2 linked regions of the Notamacropus eugenii genome follow. The protein of the gene in region 2 purifies or fractionates together with the protein of the main gene of each other region. This does not show direct contact. Links are inferred from orthologs where the notes say so. Each region holds a gene or a part of one and is shown on either strand. Other genes may lie near its edges.

Evidence for each region.
Region 1: the proteins of MYBBP1A (region 2) and LYAR purify together in Homo sapiens (affinity purification with mass spectrometry; 3 studies listed by BioGRID and IntAct, with this or other methods). This does not show direct contact. The link is inferred for Notamacropus eugenii from reciprocal best matches to the Homo sapiens genes MYBBP1A and LYAR.

Annotation. Positions count from the first base shown.
Region 1 is NC_092877.1:62,021,264-62,028,756, reverse strand, and holds the start of LYAR (cell growth-regulating nucleolar protein), read right to left. Parts: upstream 3,002-7,493; 5' UTR 2,774-3,001; exon of another isoform or gene 2,213-2,773; intron 1-2,212. UniProt on the Homo sapiens protein: Plays a role in the maintenance of the appropriate processing of 47S/45S pre-rRNA to 32S/30S pre-rRNAs and their subsequent processing to produce 18S and 28S rRNAs. Also acts at the level of transcription regulation.
Region 2 is NC_092877.1:388,002,161-388,009,846, reverse strand, and holds the start of MYBBP1A (myb-binding protein 1A), read left to right. Parts: upstream 1-4,575; 5' UTR 4,576-4,601; coding exon 4,602-4,910; intron 4,911-5,042; coding exon 5,043-5,138; intron 5,139-5,254; coding exon 5,255-5,332; intron 5,333-6,039; coding exon 6,040-6,114; intron 6,115-6,202; coding exon 6,203-6,310; intron 6,311-6,414; coding exon 6,415-6,605; intron 6,606-6,910; coding exon 6,911-7,078; intron 7,079-7,327; coding exon 7,328-7,445; intron 7,446-7,581; coding exon 7,582-7,686. UniProt on the Homo sapiens protein: May activate or repress transcription via interactions with sequence specific DNA-binding proteins. Repression may be mediated at least in part by histone deacetylase activity (HDAC activity).

The sequences.
Region 1 (7,493 bases), about 330 Mb from region 2:
ATGGGAAAGGAAGGGGAAATGTCCCGTCCCTCAATATATCCTCCAGCCACTACCTCCATTTCTGTTCTTCACTCCAGAATTCCCTCTCCAGTTGTTTACACACTTTCCACTTTAGAATCTCAGTCCCAGGCCATGCAAATACTTTTAGAGCTGGGAGAGTTCGGGGAAAGTGACTCTCTTAATTCTGTTGCCAGAATTTAACGCATTCCTGGTATCCCAAGTTAGAAGCTGACTGTATTTTTCTATAGAATATTGTTATGTTTGATATTTAGGCTCAACAGTACTCAATAGTACTACAACATACTATATTAAACTTCAGTTCTGTTATGAATTTTATAAAGGTTTTGGTGCCCTGCCCTAAGGGAACCTCAACACCATGTCTAACATCCTTTTTATAAAAAAAAAAAATTTTTTTTGAGGTTTTTTGCACAATAATCCATTCCTAAATTAGAAGTTGCTGTTTTAGAAAACAATTTCAGACATGTTCTGGAACTTTGGTTAAATTACAGGCTGTCTTTTTGCTCCACACTTAGTGGAGATAACAATTTGTCACCTGCTTGTTATTCATATGGATTAATAAGATAATGCTTGTAATCAGCTTACTTCTTCTTTAGAAGCCCAATATGAGCCATAAAAATAACCCTAAGTATCTTTCACACTGTAAAACAGTAAACATGCAGGAAAGAATAGCATCCTGTTTTTCTCAGTTTATGACTGGGCAAAACCAAGTATTAACTCTAAAGAAATTCTACTTAAACTACAAAGTAAAAATACTCAGTGGTACAAATCAACAAATATTTTTCAAACACCTACTATTTTCCACAACCTGTACAAAGCACTGGGGATACAAAGAAAGGCAAAATTAATAGTGCGGATCCTTGTAAGAGAGGGACATACTTTATGTGTAACATTTGTTTCCCATTTCAGTCCATGACTGCACTACTGTAGCATGAGAACTGAACCTGTGGAACTCCTGGGTGAGAAAACTCCTTTTGCCAATGCACTTAGGCACCATCTCTGTAATGCAGTCTTGGAGAGCTGCTTGGAGCTTTGTTAGGGAACCAGTATCAGAGGCAGGACACTAGCTTCAAGATGGCACTCTACTGTACCACACTGCCTCTTGACTATGCAGCACTACACTTAGGAAAAGAAGTGAAACAAGGACTTATCCCATAGAGTAGTGTGACCTAGTGCAAAAAGCACAGGTTGGGAATTTGGAGATGTTCTAATTCCAGCTATGTCACTGACAAGTTGTGTGACCTAAAGGAAAGCACTTTTTCTCTCTCCTCTCCTAAAATCTTGTGGTAATGTCTCATCATGTTAAGGAGGCATTCCTGAATTCTCAAAATTCAATCTAATTTAATATTTATTAAGTGCCTATTATATGAAAGGGACACAGATAAAGTAGGAGAGGCAGTTATGGTGCAATGTCCAGTGTAGTAGTTATAAAAGGTAGATTTCACAGCCTGTCACAGACACGTAATAGTTCTGTAATTTAGAACAAGTCACTTAACCTCTTGGTGTCTCAGGCAACTCTCTAAGACATAAAATGACAGACTAGTTGCATCCAGAATCCCTACAAAATCAAAGATCCAAACCTTTCCCCCCAACACACCATGCATGCATGAGTAATTTGGAGACAAAACTGAAACACAGTCAGTTGTTTTTCAGGGCCTCCTCTCGATGTCCTTTTCGCTTCTTGGCAGCAATCTCTCATCACTCATCTTTTAGTTGCCTAGTGCCCCAAGTCTCTTTCTCTACCTTCCTGTCAAAATCTTCAAGGAATTAACTTACACATTCAGCATAATACAACAGAAAGGGTCAGGAGCTAGTCCAACACTCTCTTTTTACAGATGCACTCTTACCCTCCAAAAGCCACTGTCTTCTTGGATCAATTTCATTTCAGGCTACTTGGCACTCCTCCTGTGCTCTGATCACAGTCTACCTTACATTATGCTTGCGTATACATCCTATTCTCCCCCAGATTGGTAAGCTCTTTGAGCACAGGACGTAATTTTTTTTATCTTGGTAACCTTTTCGACTACACACCTCTCAAAAACTGAACGGTTTGCTAAACAGAACCGTTGGTCACTAGGTCCCCCCCGAAAGGGGCGGGGGCATCTTGCCAGGACAGCTGGGTGTCCGCGCATAGAGCGCCCGGCCTGGAGCCCACAATACTGGAGTTCAAATCCGTTTGCCTCGGGTTCCTCACCTGCGAAATGGGGATAACATCGGCACGTGCCTCCCACCGTGAGGACGAAAAGGGACAGTAACGGTACGGCGCTTAGCGCAGAGCCTGGCCCCGAGGTAGGGGCCGCATAAACGTTGACACTGTGGCTACAGCTCACGATCGCACGGACGCTACGCGACTCCTAACAAAGTAGCCCCGAGGCTCGGGCCACACGCAGGAGCAGCCTCCGGAGGGCCAGTCAGTCCTTAACTAAAAGCGACCCAACAAGGACTTGCTGGGGCCGCCCGGCTGCAGCGTGGCCCGGCGGAGACTCGAACCCAGGTCCTCTGACTCCGTCCATCGCCCCAGTCATCCACCCCGGGGTCTTCCTGGGCAGCGGCCCCCGCCCGCCCCCACGCTGTACCTCGAGGGCGGCGGACGGCTCGGCTGGCCCTCGGCAGCCCGGGCGCAGGCCGATCGGGGTCGCCGTGGTCCACGCCGGGGCTCCGAGCCGAGCCGGGGAACCGCCGCCAGTCAGCCCCTTCCCCCGGCTGCGGCCCCGGCCTCCGCGGCCTCAGCCCGCCCCACCGCACCACCACTCACCCCCGCCGCGCGCCAGAGAACCGTTTCAACCGCCCGCGCCCAGCACGTGGGCTCTCCCGGGGCGGCGCGTCCCGCAAGTCCGCCTCCCGCCTCCAGTCCACGCCGACTATCTGGGATTCCCCGATTCCGAGTTGGTGGCGGGGAACGCACGCAGGAAGATGCGCGCATGCGTGCACTGCAACCTGCGCTTTTCCCTTCTTCCTCCGCCCCGCCTCCGGCCCCATCTTCTCCGCACGGAAGTGACGTTACCGGAAGTGCTCTGAGATACAGGGCGCTGTCAAACCGCGGGGCCCAGCGGCCGCCGGCGGAGCCCTAGGTGCTCCGCTGAGCGGCGGGAGCGGAAGGAGCCCGAGAAGGAGGAGGGCACGCGCCCGCTAGGAGGGGTAAGGAAGCTCTTCGGGCGGTCGCTGACCGGGACCGGGAAAGACACGGCCTCGCACACCGCCTTTCTGATCTCTGCACCCTCGTCCGGGTCTTCTGGGCTCGCCCAGAGCTGGGAGGGAGGCTGGGCCGCCGCTGCGGTTCTGGAGGGGTCCTTCACGGCCACCGTAGGAGCTCGCGGCTGGCACCGCCCCGGACTAGGTGGGCGGGCCTGAGGGAGGGGAGGAAGAGTAGGAATGGGTGACCTAGGCCACCTTCGAAGTTTTAAAGATGAGGAAACTGAGGCCCAGAGAGGTTAGGTGACTTGTCCAAGGTCATAGATTTGAACCCGGGGCCTTCAGATTAGCTCGTAATTCGGAAAGCCTTCCTGCGTGCGAGGGGATGCCCAGTTGTGCCACGTGATCCTCGGGGTGTTACCCGATCAATAACCCAGCGTTTGTTAAGCTTCTGCTGTGAGGCCGGGCACTGCTGGGCGCTAGGGATACAAAGAGCAAAACGGGCCTGCGCTCGGAGACGCTGGGGGTTGGGGCGGACGACGACAGGACGCTTGGAGATGTGTACGAAACAGACGAGGTGACGGGGGCAGAGCTGAGCGCTGAAAGAAGCCAAAGATCCCGGCTGGCTTTTAAATTAAATTTCTTTTTTTTCTATTAATAAAAGTACTCTGTTTCCCACTTTATTCCTCTCCCATGGTGGGGGGAGGGGAGAAATCTTGTAACAAATATGCAAATACTAGGGATTCAGAAAGCCTGAGTTGGGGGAGGAGGGAACATCCTGGACACGTAGAAGGGCCGTACCAAGAGGCTTCGAGGTAGGTGGCTGGAATACGCCTAGTCTCAGGAACCAGAAGAAAGTCGTTTTGGCAGGACCACAGTGTCTGTGGAAGGGGAGGTAAGACTGAAGATAGGCACGGGCCAGTTTGTGACAGTCTTTAAATGCCAAAGGAGTCATATCCCCTCCTGGCCACAGTAGGGAGCCACAGGACTGAATTATTGGGGTACGGGGAAGAACGCGTGACTGACAGGAAGTCAGGAAATAGGTTTTGTCCCTGCCCTGTCAGTAACTAGTTATGGGACTCTAGGTAAGTCACCTCGTGGCTTTGCTCCTCAGATTCCTCCTCCAGTAAAATGAGGGCGTTGGACTAGATTCTCTCCGAGATTTTTTCCCATTCTAACGTTCTCTGAAAATCGCTTAATTGGTGGAAGAGCGTGAATTGGTGATTCCTCTGCCAGTAAGTTTTTCCTTATAAATAAGTGCTATGGAAGTGAAAAGTATGAAATTCCTTATAATTGTGTATAATGATGGCATCAAGCTCTAATCAAAAGAATTTCTTTTGTTTTCACTCTCAGGTACCTGAATTTGTACAGTGAGAGGTGTTTGATTTATTATGAATTGGTAGTTTCTGTAGACAGATGATTTTTTTCTTAAAGGTTTCTTTTTTTCCTATTAAGAATTAATGATGATTTTCCGGGATCAGAAACAACAAAGCTTTTTCTTTTTGAATATACAAGAGAATTTCAGCAATAGTAAAAATCCTTTCCTTAACATAAGGAAGTTTGCATTACCAAGTTCATATTTGAAAAAGGATAACATGATTATGTTTTCTTCAGAGAGGCAGATAGGTGGAACAGGAAGACAGGTGGACCTGAAGTCGGAAAAACCTGAGTTCAAATGCAGCCTCAGACGTTTACTAGCTATGTGACCTTGGGCAAATCATTTAACCTCTGTTTACCTCAGTTTCCTGAACTGTAAAATGAGGATAATAATAGCACCTAGCACCCACATTTGTTGTGTGGAAAAAGTGTGGTATTTGTAAAACCTTGAACTTAAAAGTGCTAAATAAAAGTTTGTTTCTTTCTCTCATTTGAAAAGAGAATATTTGCCAAAGGTAGGTGCCATTTTTTTGTTCCAGAGAGGATTTGTTTTCCTTGTATTCTATAATGACTTGGAATTCCTGTGTCTGAGGGAGTAGGAATTTAAATTTCAAGGGGATAAACTGAAGTAAACAAGCAGTCCAAATGAAGCAATTGTTATAAATGCTAGGTTCTCCAGGTTATGAAGATTAAAATGTCTGAATAATATTCATATTTTAGATGAGACAAAACCTGTGATAACAACTTGTTTTCTACTTAGACCTTTTATCTGAAAAGTTATGACTCTAGAAATGATTAGAAGAGGTAACAGATAGACATTTTACTGAGAGAATAGTAAAATGTGCATACAGTAAACATGAAGGTAGTTTGTGTTCATTTTACAAATTGAGAAGGGAATAAACATTTATACTGTGCCTACTACGTGCCAGACATTGTGCTAGGCACTTTTTGCAAATATTATTTCATTTGATCCTCGCAACAATCCTGTGAGGTAGGTACTACTATTATCCTCATTTTGCAATTGAGGAAACTGAGGCAAACAGGTTAAGGGACTCTCTCAGAGTCACACAGCTAATAAGTAGCTGAAGCTGGATTTGAATTCAGGTAGTCCAGACTCGAGGCCCAGTGCTCTATCCGCTGTGCCATCAACTGCCTGGGGGGAAAGTACTATGCAAGTAATTTTCTTCAGATGTGAATTGCACTAGTAGCAGGAATTTTGAATATTTTGCATGCCTACTATATACATAATTCTTTGATAATATATTATAGGCTGATACTTCTGAGATTTTGGAGTTGAGTAAAGGAAGATACATCTTATGCTTACTACAAAGAGGTCAAATCAAGTTGTTTGATAGACCCGGTACGGTGTCATGCAAATGCAGATCAGCCACACTGTTAGTCCCAGTTTCCAGGATTCCCAGAGTGCGGTGTTTAGTGGCATAAAGGTCATGGAAACAGCAAACAAGCGGGATGGTGCCAGGCATGCTTTGGTCCTGACAGCTCTGACTAGTTACACAGAAGGTGACTGATGCTTCATGTCCTTTATATTAAATTGTAAGCAAGATGAGTCAGCAAAAAAAGTCAAAATTATAATAGGAAACTGTTCATAGCATCCATGGAGGTCAAGCACTGCGACATAACTAGTTAAGGCTTGACCCTTGCAACATCGGAATCAAGCACTGTTTAATCAGAATAGAATAGGTGAACACCTTAACTCCAAAGGAAGACGCAATTCCAGAGATACAGTGAAGGACAAGACACAACATACTGTGTCACAGAAGAGTGTTGAAAGCAAGTCCCATAGGACTCCATGGCTTACGTACTATATCACTGCTGGTAGCGTACAAATATAAAAATCCTTCAAGTAATTCACAGTGGAAAAAACCATATATGTACAATATATGGAAGGTAATTACAAAGCAGCATAGGAGTAACTGAAAGCTAATACTGTGTACATATAAGTGCTAATGAAGGCGTGACTTAGCCAGTTTGTGTGCTTACTTTGAATAGTATCCAGCCCTATTGAGATTTGCTGAGGCCACATGAATCATCAGTGATTTCTTCCATGCCTGTGAATAGCTCTCCACTACCCACTCCAAGACACTACATAGAACTAGAAAGTACGAATACTGTCCATAGTTGACTTTCAGGCTTACAAAAAGACAAACCACCCTGTAATAGTTACTCTAAGGTTTACAAAGATTATTTCATGATCTCACTCAATCCTCACCATAACCCTGTGAAGTAGGCACTACAGATGTTATCACAATTATATAGATAAGAAAATTGAGTCTTAGGTGATAACTGTGATAACTTTTGCATTGTTGCACAATGCTTAAATGTCAAAAGAGAAATTTGAACCAAAATTTTTCCTTATTCTACTTTCTATTCCACATTGTTTCCTCTACTAGTTTAGCCCACATTTTAAAGGCTAGAGCTAAACATGTTTAATCTCTGCAGATTTAGTTTTACTCCTTCTTCAATTTCCTGTTTTTCTGGTTTTAGGCTATATTTTCTGAAACACTTTTCCCACCATTACCTAAAAGGTTCCTTCTGGCCCAATCAGTAGAGATTTGTTAATATTTGTTAATTAGGTACTGGGAAATATATAACATTGGATAAGACATAATTCTTAACCTCTTGGAGTTTGTGTTGTAGTAAGGAGATAAAACACAGATAACATCATCATAATAATATTACACAGCAAGTACATTAGAGAGGTGGAAAGCAGACACTCGATTTGGTCATTACCAGCAGGGAATCCAGAAGAGTTTGATGGAGATGACGTTTGAATTTAACTAGGTTAACTTTAGCTAGGTTTTCTCCACAAATTCTTAGTCTGATTATAGCATGAAAGTTATATGCATTCCTGAAAAGTATGCCAGCCCAACCTAAGTTCTGGTAGGTTCTGCTGACCTAGACTTTTTGTCATGGGCCTGACCATAAACTCATTCTGAGAACTAACT
Region 2 (7,686 bases):
GACATCATAAAAGCACTTTGGTTTGTTACTATCAGCATAAAATGGAATTCCATCTGTCTTCTTACTAAGTCAAGAATCCTGCATCTCTCTAAGCTTCACTTGCACTTTACTTTTTTTTTGAATTGCTTATCTTTTTTTACTAAATTATTTTATTTGTTTTCAATGTCCTACAATCACTTCCATATAACTTAGATTTTTTCCTCTCTCCCCCTCCCTCCCTAAGATGGCATATAATTTTATATAGGTTTTACACATACATTCCTATTAAAATACATTTTCACCTTAGTCATGTTGCATAGAAGAATTAAAATGAATGGGAGAAAGCATATAACAAAACAAAACATAATACAAAAAAAAATGATCTGCTTCATTCTGCAATCAAATTTCATAATTCTTTCTCTGGTTGAGGAAGGCATTTTGCCTCAAGAGTCAATTGGGAATTTTTTAAGTCCTTGCATTGCCATGAAGTACTAAGTCTACCAGAAAAATTCCTTGCACAGTGTGGTTGTTGCTATGTACTAAGTTCTCCTGGTTCTGCTCCTTTCACTCAGCATCAGTTCATATAAGTCTTTCCAGGCTGCACTTTTGATGAAGTTAACCACTGCCTTCTTAGAAACAGATGAACTATCTTGCTGGTAAACCCTGTGGAGTTCTTGTTTTTCATTTAGCAGTTTCTGAATTTCCTCATCATTTTCATCAAACCAATCTTGATCTTTGTGAGTGTTTTGGCCCAGATGAGTAAACGCAGTGCTGTACACCAAATCTCTGAAAGCTGCCCAGTCCTGTATGAAGACCTGGAGCCCTTCGTCATCAATACTATAGCCAACTGTGTGTTGGTTCAATTTTCTCTCCAAGTTAGCAATAAACTCTTTATGCCTGGAGAAGTACTTTAGCCCATTGACATTAAGTCTTCAGGTAGTTTTCTTGCCTTGGGGCCACCACTTTTGTTGAATGTGAATGTTTAGCTTGAAAAGGAAGTCTATGATCAGTCCAGCACTCTGCACCACACATTGTCCTCATCTCTCTCACACCCTGTCTCTTGTCTTTACAATGATATAATCTATTAAATGCAAATGTTAGCGGTGAGGGGTGTACCCTCATTTAGGTAAACATTGCATTTAGCTAAACAGAAGACAATGTTTGTGATGGGAACGTCATGAGATGCACAAGTCTTCAGTAGTAAATGACTGTTGCAATTTCCGATTCCATTCCTCCCAAGGATTTCCTGCCATATCTGATAGTCTGAGTCTACTCCTGCATTGAAGTCATCCAGAATTATAAGCTTATAAGCTTGTCCTCTTTCAGTATATTGATGATGAGGGTCTCCAGGTCTTCATAAAAATTTTTCCTTGACCTCATCAGGGATCATCAAGGTGGGAGCACAGGCACTGATGATGGTTGCATGGTGTTTTCCTCCAAGTGGCAATCACATTATCTTGAACTAGCTGTTCATTCCTTTTGGGAGGCATACAAGCTTGTTCACTAGATTAATTTTGGTTGTGAAACCTACACCAGCTTCACAATGCTCCCTTTCATTGAGGCCACTCTAGAGAAACATGTAGCTGGCTCTGACTTGAGTGAGCTGGACTTCATTTGGCAGCCTTGTTTCACTCAGGGCTGCTATTTGGATAGGATGTCTGCTGAGATCCCTTCCAAGAGCTGTTCATCTTTCAAGTCTAGAGGATTTCATGTTGTTTATAAGTGTGCACACATTCCATGTAACAACGGTGAGTGGAATCATCTTCACAAAAGATTTGGTACATTTTTTTTGGTGTTTTGACTACAGGGTGGGATTCCTACTTGCCTTGGTAAGCAGGCCAGAGTTGGGGCTTATACCCCAAGCAAGCAATCAATAAGAAAAAAGTGCCCATACACTCCAAAATATTTATAGCAGCTCTTTTTGTAATAGCTAAGAATTGGAAACAAAGATGCCCATCAGTTCAGGAATGGGTAAACAAAGTGTGATATGTAAACAGAGTGGAATATCAATGTGCTGTAAAAAATGAAGTATGGGATAAATACTGAGAAGCCTGGAAAGAGTTACATGAACTGAGGAGAAATGAAGTCAGCGGAGCCAAGAAAACCATCTATACAGTAACTAAAACAAGGTAAGTGAAGAGAACAGTGGCACACCACAAAGTCAAAAGTAGACGTAACATGAGTGTAAAGTTCAAGCAGCATTAGAGGAAAAGCTAGAAGACACTCCTGACCTAACCTTCTGCAGAGGAGGAGACACACAGCTGGCACACACTGCCCACAGTTTGGGACTTTTTCAGTGCATCCATCAGTTGTACTGGGCTTTTTTCCCTTTCTAAAAATACTGTTTGTTCTAAGGAATGGCTGACTGTGCACAGAACATCGCTCATAACCTTGGACTCTATCTGGAGCACTGTCATCCCAGAGGCCAGCACTGAGTTGAGTGGCCATTCTGCTGTAGTCTCTCCTCACAGGGACTAAGATCTAGGGTTGGAAAGGACCACAGATACCATTTAGTCCAATGCTCCAATTGACAGAAGAGAAATCAAAAGCCTGAAGAGGAGAAGATCCTTGCTCAAAGTCACAGAATTTTGCAAATCTAGACTGAAAGGCAGGTGGAAAACTCTGAGGTCCCTCACTGAGGAGAATGCCCATTCCTGACTCCACTCTCCCAAATGAATCGAGAAATCCCAGAACCTCAGAGCTGAAGAAAGGCCTCTGTGACCAGCCCATGTGTTTCAAAGTGATGTTGGTTGATGATTGGTTGTCCTCAGTGAGGTCACAGAGTTCAATCAAAGATATATGAAACCATCCTTCCCCACTATTATGAATGAAAAGACATGAGAGATTGAATTTTTGGATAATTAATAGTCAATTTATTAATTAGACTAGCTAATAATCAATAAATTGATGACCAGTGGTTTCTCTTGGCAATTAAAAAAATATGGAGAGCCTGAAAGCTTTAAATAATCCCCGAAAGGGAATTCCCTTGACAACTGAAAAATCAACCCTTACTGGTGGATGTTTCATGAGGAGGTAGGCTAGAAGTCTTCAGTGCTTCCTGCTGAGAAGTGTCTGGATCACGAGCCTTAGCCACCTCCAGCACTCTGGACAGGGGAATCCAACTCCATCCAGACCACGCTTTTCTCCTTCATTCGCTGGCTACCCTAAACTCTAATGGAGTACCAGGAGAGGGGCACATTTCCTCTGGGGTAAGGGCTCACCTAGACTGGATTCTGTTTATTCTCCAGACACAAGCACGCATCCAAGATTGAAGTGCACATACCTCAATAGCTAGAACAATCTCATCAATCAGCCATGTCCTTTAGAGACAGACTTTTTACAGGATCTGGGCCCCAGTGAAACAGCAACACAGATGAAGAAGCCTGGATCTTTGTTTGAGAATTGCTTACTAATATAACAGAAAAATGATTTCTCTCACCATTCGTATCCCTTTCTTGGCCTCGAGCAAACGCCTGCCTCTGAGGACATTTCCCAACCTTGTCAACATTACAGCTCTGTCCAGAATGGGTTGGACCCCTTGGGTAGTGGGGCTTAGGACTGGATTCAGCTTCTGGTCCAGGCCCGCCTGTCCCGGGGCAAGGAGCTCTGCAGTTAGGAGGCTGAGAAGAGGCCGGCCAGCATGTTCTGAGCTTGCCTTCCCACCAGCTGAATCATCCCCAGGCGCCTTTCCGGGCGGTCGGGGTTCTCTCATTCTGTTTTCCTTCTTCTTTCCTGTCTCTGTCTCTCTTGATTGGAGGCCAGGAGCACCAAGCAGTGCAGACTCTAGGTAGAACAGGGTGAAGAGAGTCCCCGGGGAGACAGGGCCGGGGCACTGGGAGGAGCCTGGGGTCCAGGTCCGGACAGCAGGGCTCAGGGTACCCACGAGGGCGGAGTTGTCCAAGAACGCCTTTGGAGCCGGGGAGCCGCCGTCAGCACCACGGCCAGCGCCTCCTCCCAGGCCGGCCCCACCAGGCTCGCCCTGGCAAGGGAGGGTGATCTGGGCGCCCGGGCCTGCCTCTCAAAGGCCCCGCTTCGCTCCTGCAAAGGAGGCCTGGGGGGGCGAGCCCCGGAGTCCGGCTGGGGCCCAGGGGGGCCTTTGGGCCGCGGGCCTCCAGAGCAGCGCCCCTGCGGGCATCGGGGCAGTGCCCGGGAGGAGACTGCGTTGGGGGAGGCCGCCGCCCGCTGCCCGCCCCCCGCCCGCGGCACCCAGGGAAGGCCGGCGGCTCTCCTGGGTGTTACGGCTGCGGGGACGCTCCCTTCCCAATCTGATCGGTCGGTGCCCATGGGGGCGGCAGCGCTGTGGGGACTCGAACTCGGGATCTTCCCCCTGATTGCCCCTCCCCCCCGCAAGCCCCGCCACTTCCGGGTCCCTGGCTGGCTGGACCCCGGAGCGGGGAGGAAGCCGTGAAAAGGGAAGGGACCCCCCCCCCCCCCCACCCCGGTCGCTGTAGACCACGCCCACACCCGGCGCACAGGCGCAGACATGGCTCCGGCCCCCGCCGCGCGCAGGCGCAGCTGGGCCCCACCATCAGCGCGCAGGCGCCCTGGCGCCGTGCCCCGGAAGCAGTGTGGCTGAGCCGGCCCCGGGAAAGCACGTGGGTCATTTGGCCCAGCGGCTCAACATGGTGGGGACTCGGAGCCTGCGGAGAACGCGGGGATCGCGGGCGGCGGCGGCGGAGCAGGCGGCGGAGCAGGCGGCGGCGGAGCTGAAGCTGGAGCCCGCGGAGGCGGCGGCGGCCGAAGACGAGCGGGGGGCCGCCGGGGCGGAGGAGCGAGCCCCCTCCCCCGCCGCTGCCCCTGCGCCGCCGACGCCTTTGCTGCAGCAGAGCCGGGACTTCCTGGACCTGTTCTGGGGCATCGCCAAGCCGGCCCAGGACGAGCGGCTGGCGGCCACGGCGGCGCTGGTGGAGCGGCTGCGGACGCGGCCCCAGGTGCGGCCGGGCCGGGGGCCGGGGGGCCTGGGATCGGGGCTCCGGGGATCGGGGATCGGGGAGCCGAGAGTCGGGGGTCAGGGCGCCGGGGGCCGGGCCTCATTCTCCCCTCCTCCCCCCTCCGCCCCGCAGGGGGCCGAGCTCCAGTACGCCCTGAAGCGGCTCATCGAGGGCCTGGGCGCCACGCGGGAGGCGGCGAGGCCGGGCTTCAGCCTGGCCCTGAGCCAGGTGAGGGGGGCCCTGGGGGAGGGGCCCTGGGGGAGGGGCTGCTGGGGGGGACCGGGGCGGGGGGCCCTGGGGGAGGGGCTGCTGGGGGGGGCTCCGCCTAGCGCGCGCTCTGGCAGGTGTTGCAGGCCCTGGAGGACGTCCCCTTGCGCAGCGTCTGGGAGCAGATCCGCGAGAAGCACGACCTGGAGAGGAAGGTGAGCCCCCCCCATCCGGGTCCCTGGAGCCCCCCCCCCCCATCCGGGTCCCTGGAGCCCCCCCCCATCCCGGTCCCTGGAGCCCCCCCCCATCCCGGTCCCTGGAGCCCCCCCCATCCCGGTCCCTGGAGCCCCCCCCCCATCCCGGTCCCTGGAGCCCCCCCCATCCCGGTCCCTGGAGCCCCCCCCCCATCCCGGTCCCTGGAGCCCCCCCCCCCATCCCGGTCCCTGGAGCCCCCCCCCATCGGGATCCCTGGAGCCCCCCCCCCGTCCGGGTCCCTGGAGCCCCCCCCATCGGGGTCCCTGGAGCCCCCCCCCCCATCCGGGTCCCTGGAGCCCCCCCCCCCCATCCGGGTCCCTGGAGCCCCCCCCCCATCCGGGTCCCTGGAGCCCCCCCCCCCCATCCGGCTCCCTGGAGCCCCCCCCCATCGGGGTCCCTGGAGCCCCCCCCCTGTCCCGGTCCCTGGAGCCCCCCCCCATCCGGGTCCCTGGAGCTCCCCCCCCCTGTCCGGGTCCCTGGAGCCCCCCCCCATCCGGGTCCCTGGAGCCCCCCCCCCCTGTCCGGGTCCCTGGAGCCCCCCCCCATCCGGGTCCCTGGAGCCCCCCCCATCCCGGTCCCTGGAGCCCTCCCCCCCCCCCCCCCCATCCGGGTCCCTGGAGCCCCCCGGGCGCCTAGGACTCGGGCTCACAGCCTCCCTGTCCTGCAGAAGCGCCTGCGGAACGCCGCCTTCGGGACCGTGTTCGGGGTCCTGGCCTTGTTCCAGTCCGGCCGCCTGGCGAAGGTGAGCGGGGCAGGGGCCCTGGGGGGCTGAGGGGCCGCACCCGTCCTTGCCCGCTGCCCACCTCCACCTCTGCCCTTTCCCTGCGCAGGACCATGAGGTCCTGGTGGAGGCCGTCCAGCTCCTGCGGAGCCTGGCCCGGTACCGGAACCACCTTCAGGACCTGCCTCATCGCACGCTGGTGGACATCCTCCGGGAGGTGAGGCCGGACAAGAGCAGCTGAAGGGCCCGGCTTTACGGAGAGGGAACCTGAGGCAGCTGGCCGCTCCCGGCGCCCCCTGCAGCCTTGCCTCTCCCCCTCAGGTCTCGGAGCCCGTGTTTAAGGCGGCCCTGTTGAGCGTCCTGCAGGCCGACTTCTCCTCGGCCCTCAGCAGCCCTGACCAGCTCCAGCTCCTCCTGGTGGGACTGCAGAGGTTCCCAGGTGTCCTGCAGCCCAAGAAGCTGAAGAAGCTGCTGGGCTCTGCAGCGGTAGTCACCGAGGAGACCGTGCCCAGGTGTGGCTGAGTGGGGGGAGCCTGGGCCAGCCTGGCAGGGAGACAGATGGCCAGGGGCAGCTCCTGGGTCAGGCCTGCCGGGTGTGAGAGAGCTTGCCTCTCGTGGGCGTCCGAGGCTCTGAGCCTCTGGGTTTGTCGGGCACTTCCCCATGCAGGTCGCTGCCCTGACAGCTCGGGCAGCCCCTTCTCCCCTTCTTGGGCCCTCCGTTTCCAGATCCATCCAGTGGCTCAGACTAGAGTCAGGACTCCTCCCTTGGGGTCCCAGGACGTATTTATACTTTCTTTTTGTTTGCAAACTTCTCTAGGTTGGTGGAAGTTTTAAACGCTGCAGCTAAGACTGTGAAGAAGGAGAAGGTACTGCCCCCTGTGGCACTGGATCTGATGCGCATCGCTCTCCAGGAGGGCACCTTTGAGCTCTTTTGGAAGGGTGTGGTGGAGGATGGGCTTCTTCAGGAGCATTCTGGGCCCAGCAGGTGTGTGTCTGGCAGGCTTCCCACCCCCCTTGTCCTCAGACACCTGAGCCAGACCTGGCCAGGCCCCTCACATGGCGTCTCTCTAGCCTCAACTTGTCCCGGGGGGGGGGGGGGGGGGGGGGGGTGCGGTCCCATAAGTCATCAGGTCAGGCGAGCTTCACTGGAATCGAAGGACATTGGGGGCATGGTGGTGGGGAACAGACCCTCTGAGGAGGAAGAAGAGGCTTTGACGCCCTCGTCCCTCCCCAGTTACACGGCCTTCCGCCTGCTGGGCAGTGCCCTGCCCTTGCTATCATTGGAGCAGCTCCACATGGTCCTCCACGGAGAAGTGATGCTTCGATATGGTGACCACGTGCTCTCAGCCCAGGTAGACGCTGATGCGTATGGGGTGGGGGGAGTGGAGGGTGCAGAGCCAGCTTCTAGCCTGGCCTGGGAAGCCAAGGCCAGGGAGGGGCACAGACCTGAGCTGGAACACTCCCTCCCTGATTGTCCTCGTCCTCCAGCTCCCTTCAAGGTTCAAGTTTGCCCCAGAGATGGAGAAGTACGTGGGTTCCTTCCTGGAGGGCTGTACAGACCCTGAGAAGCAGCTGGCGGTGCTGGTGGCCTTC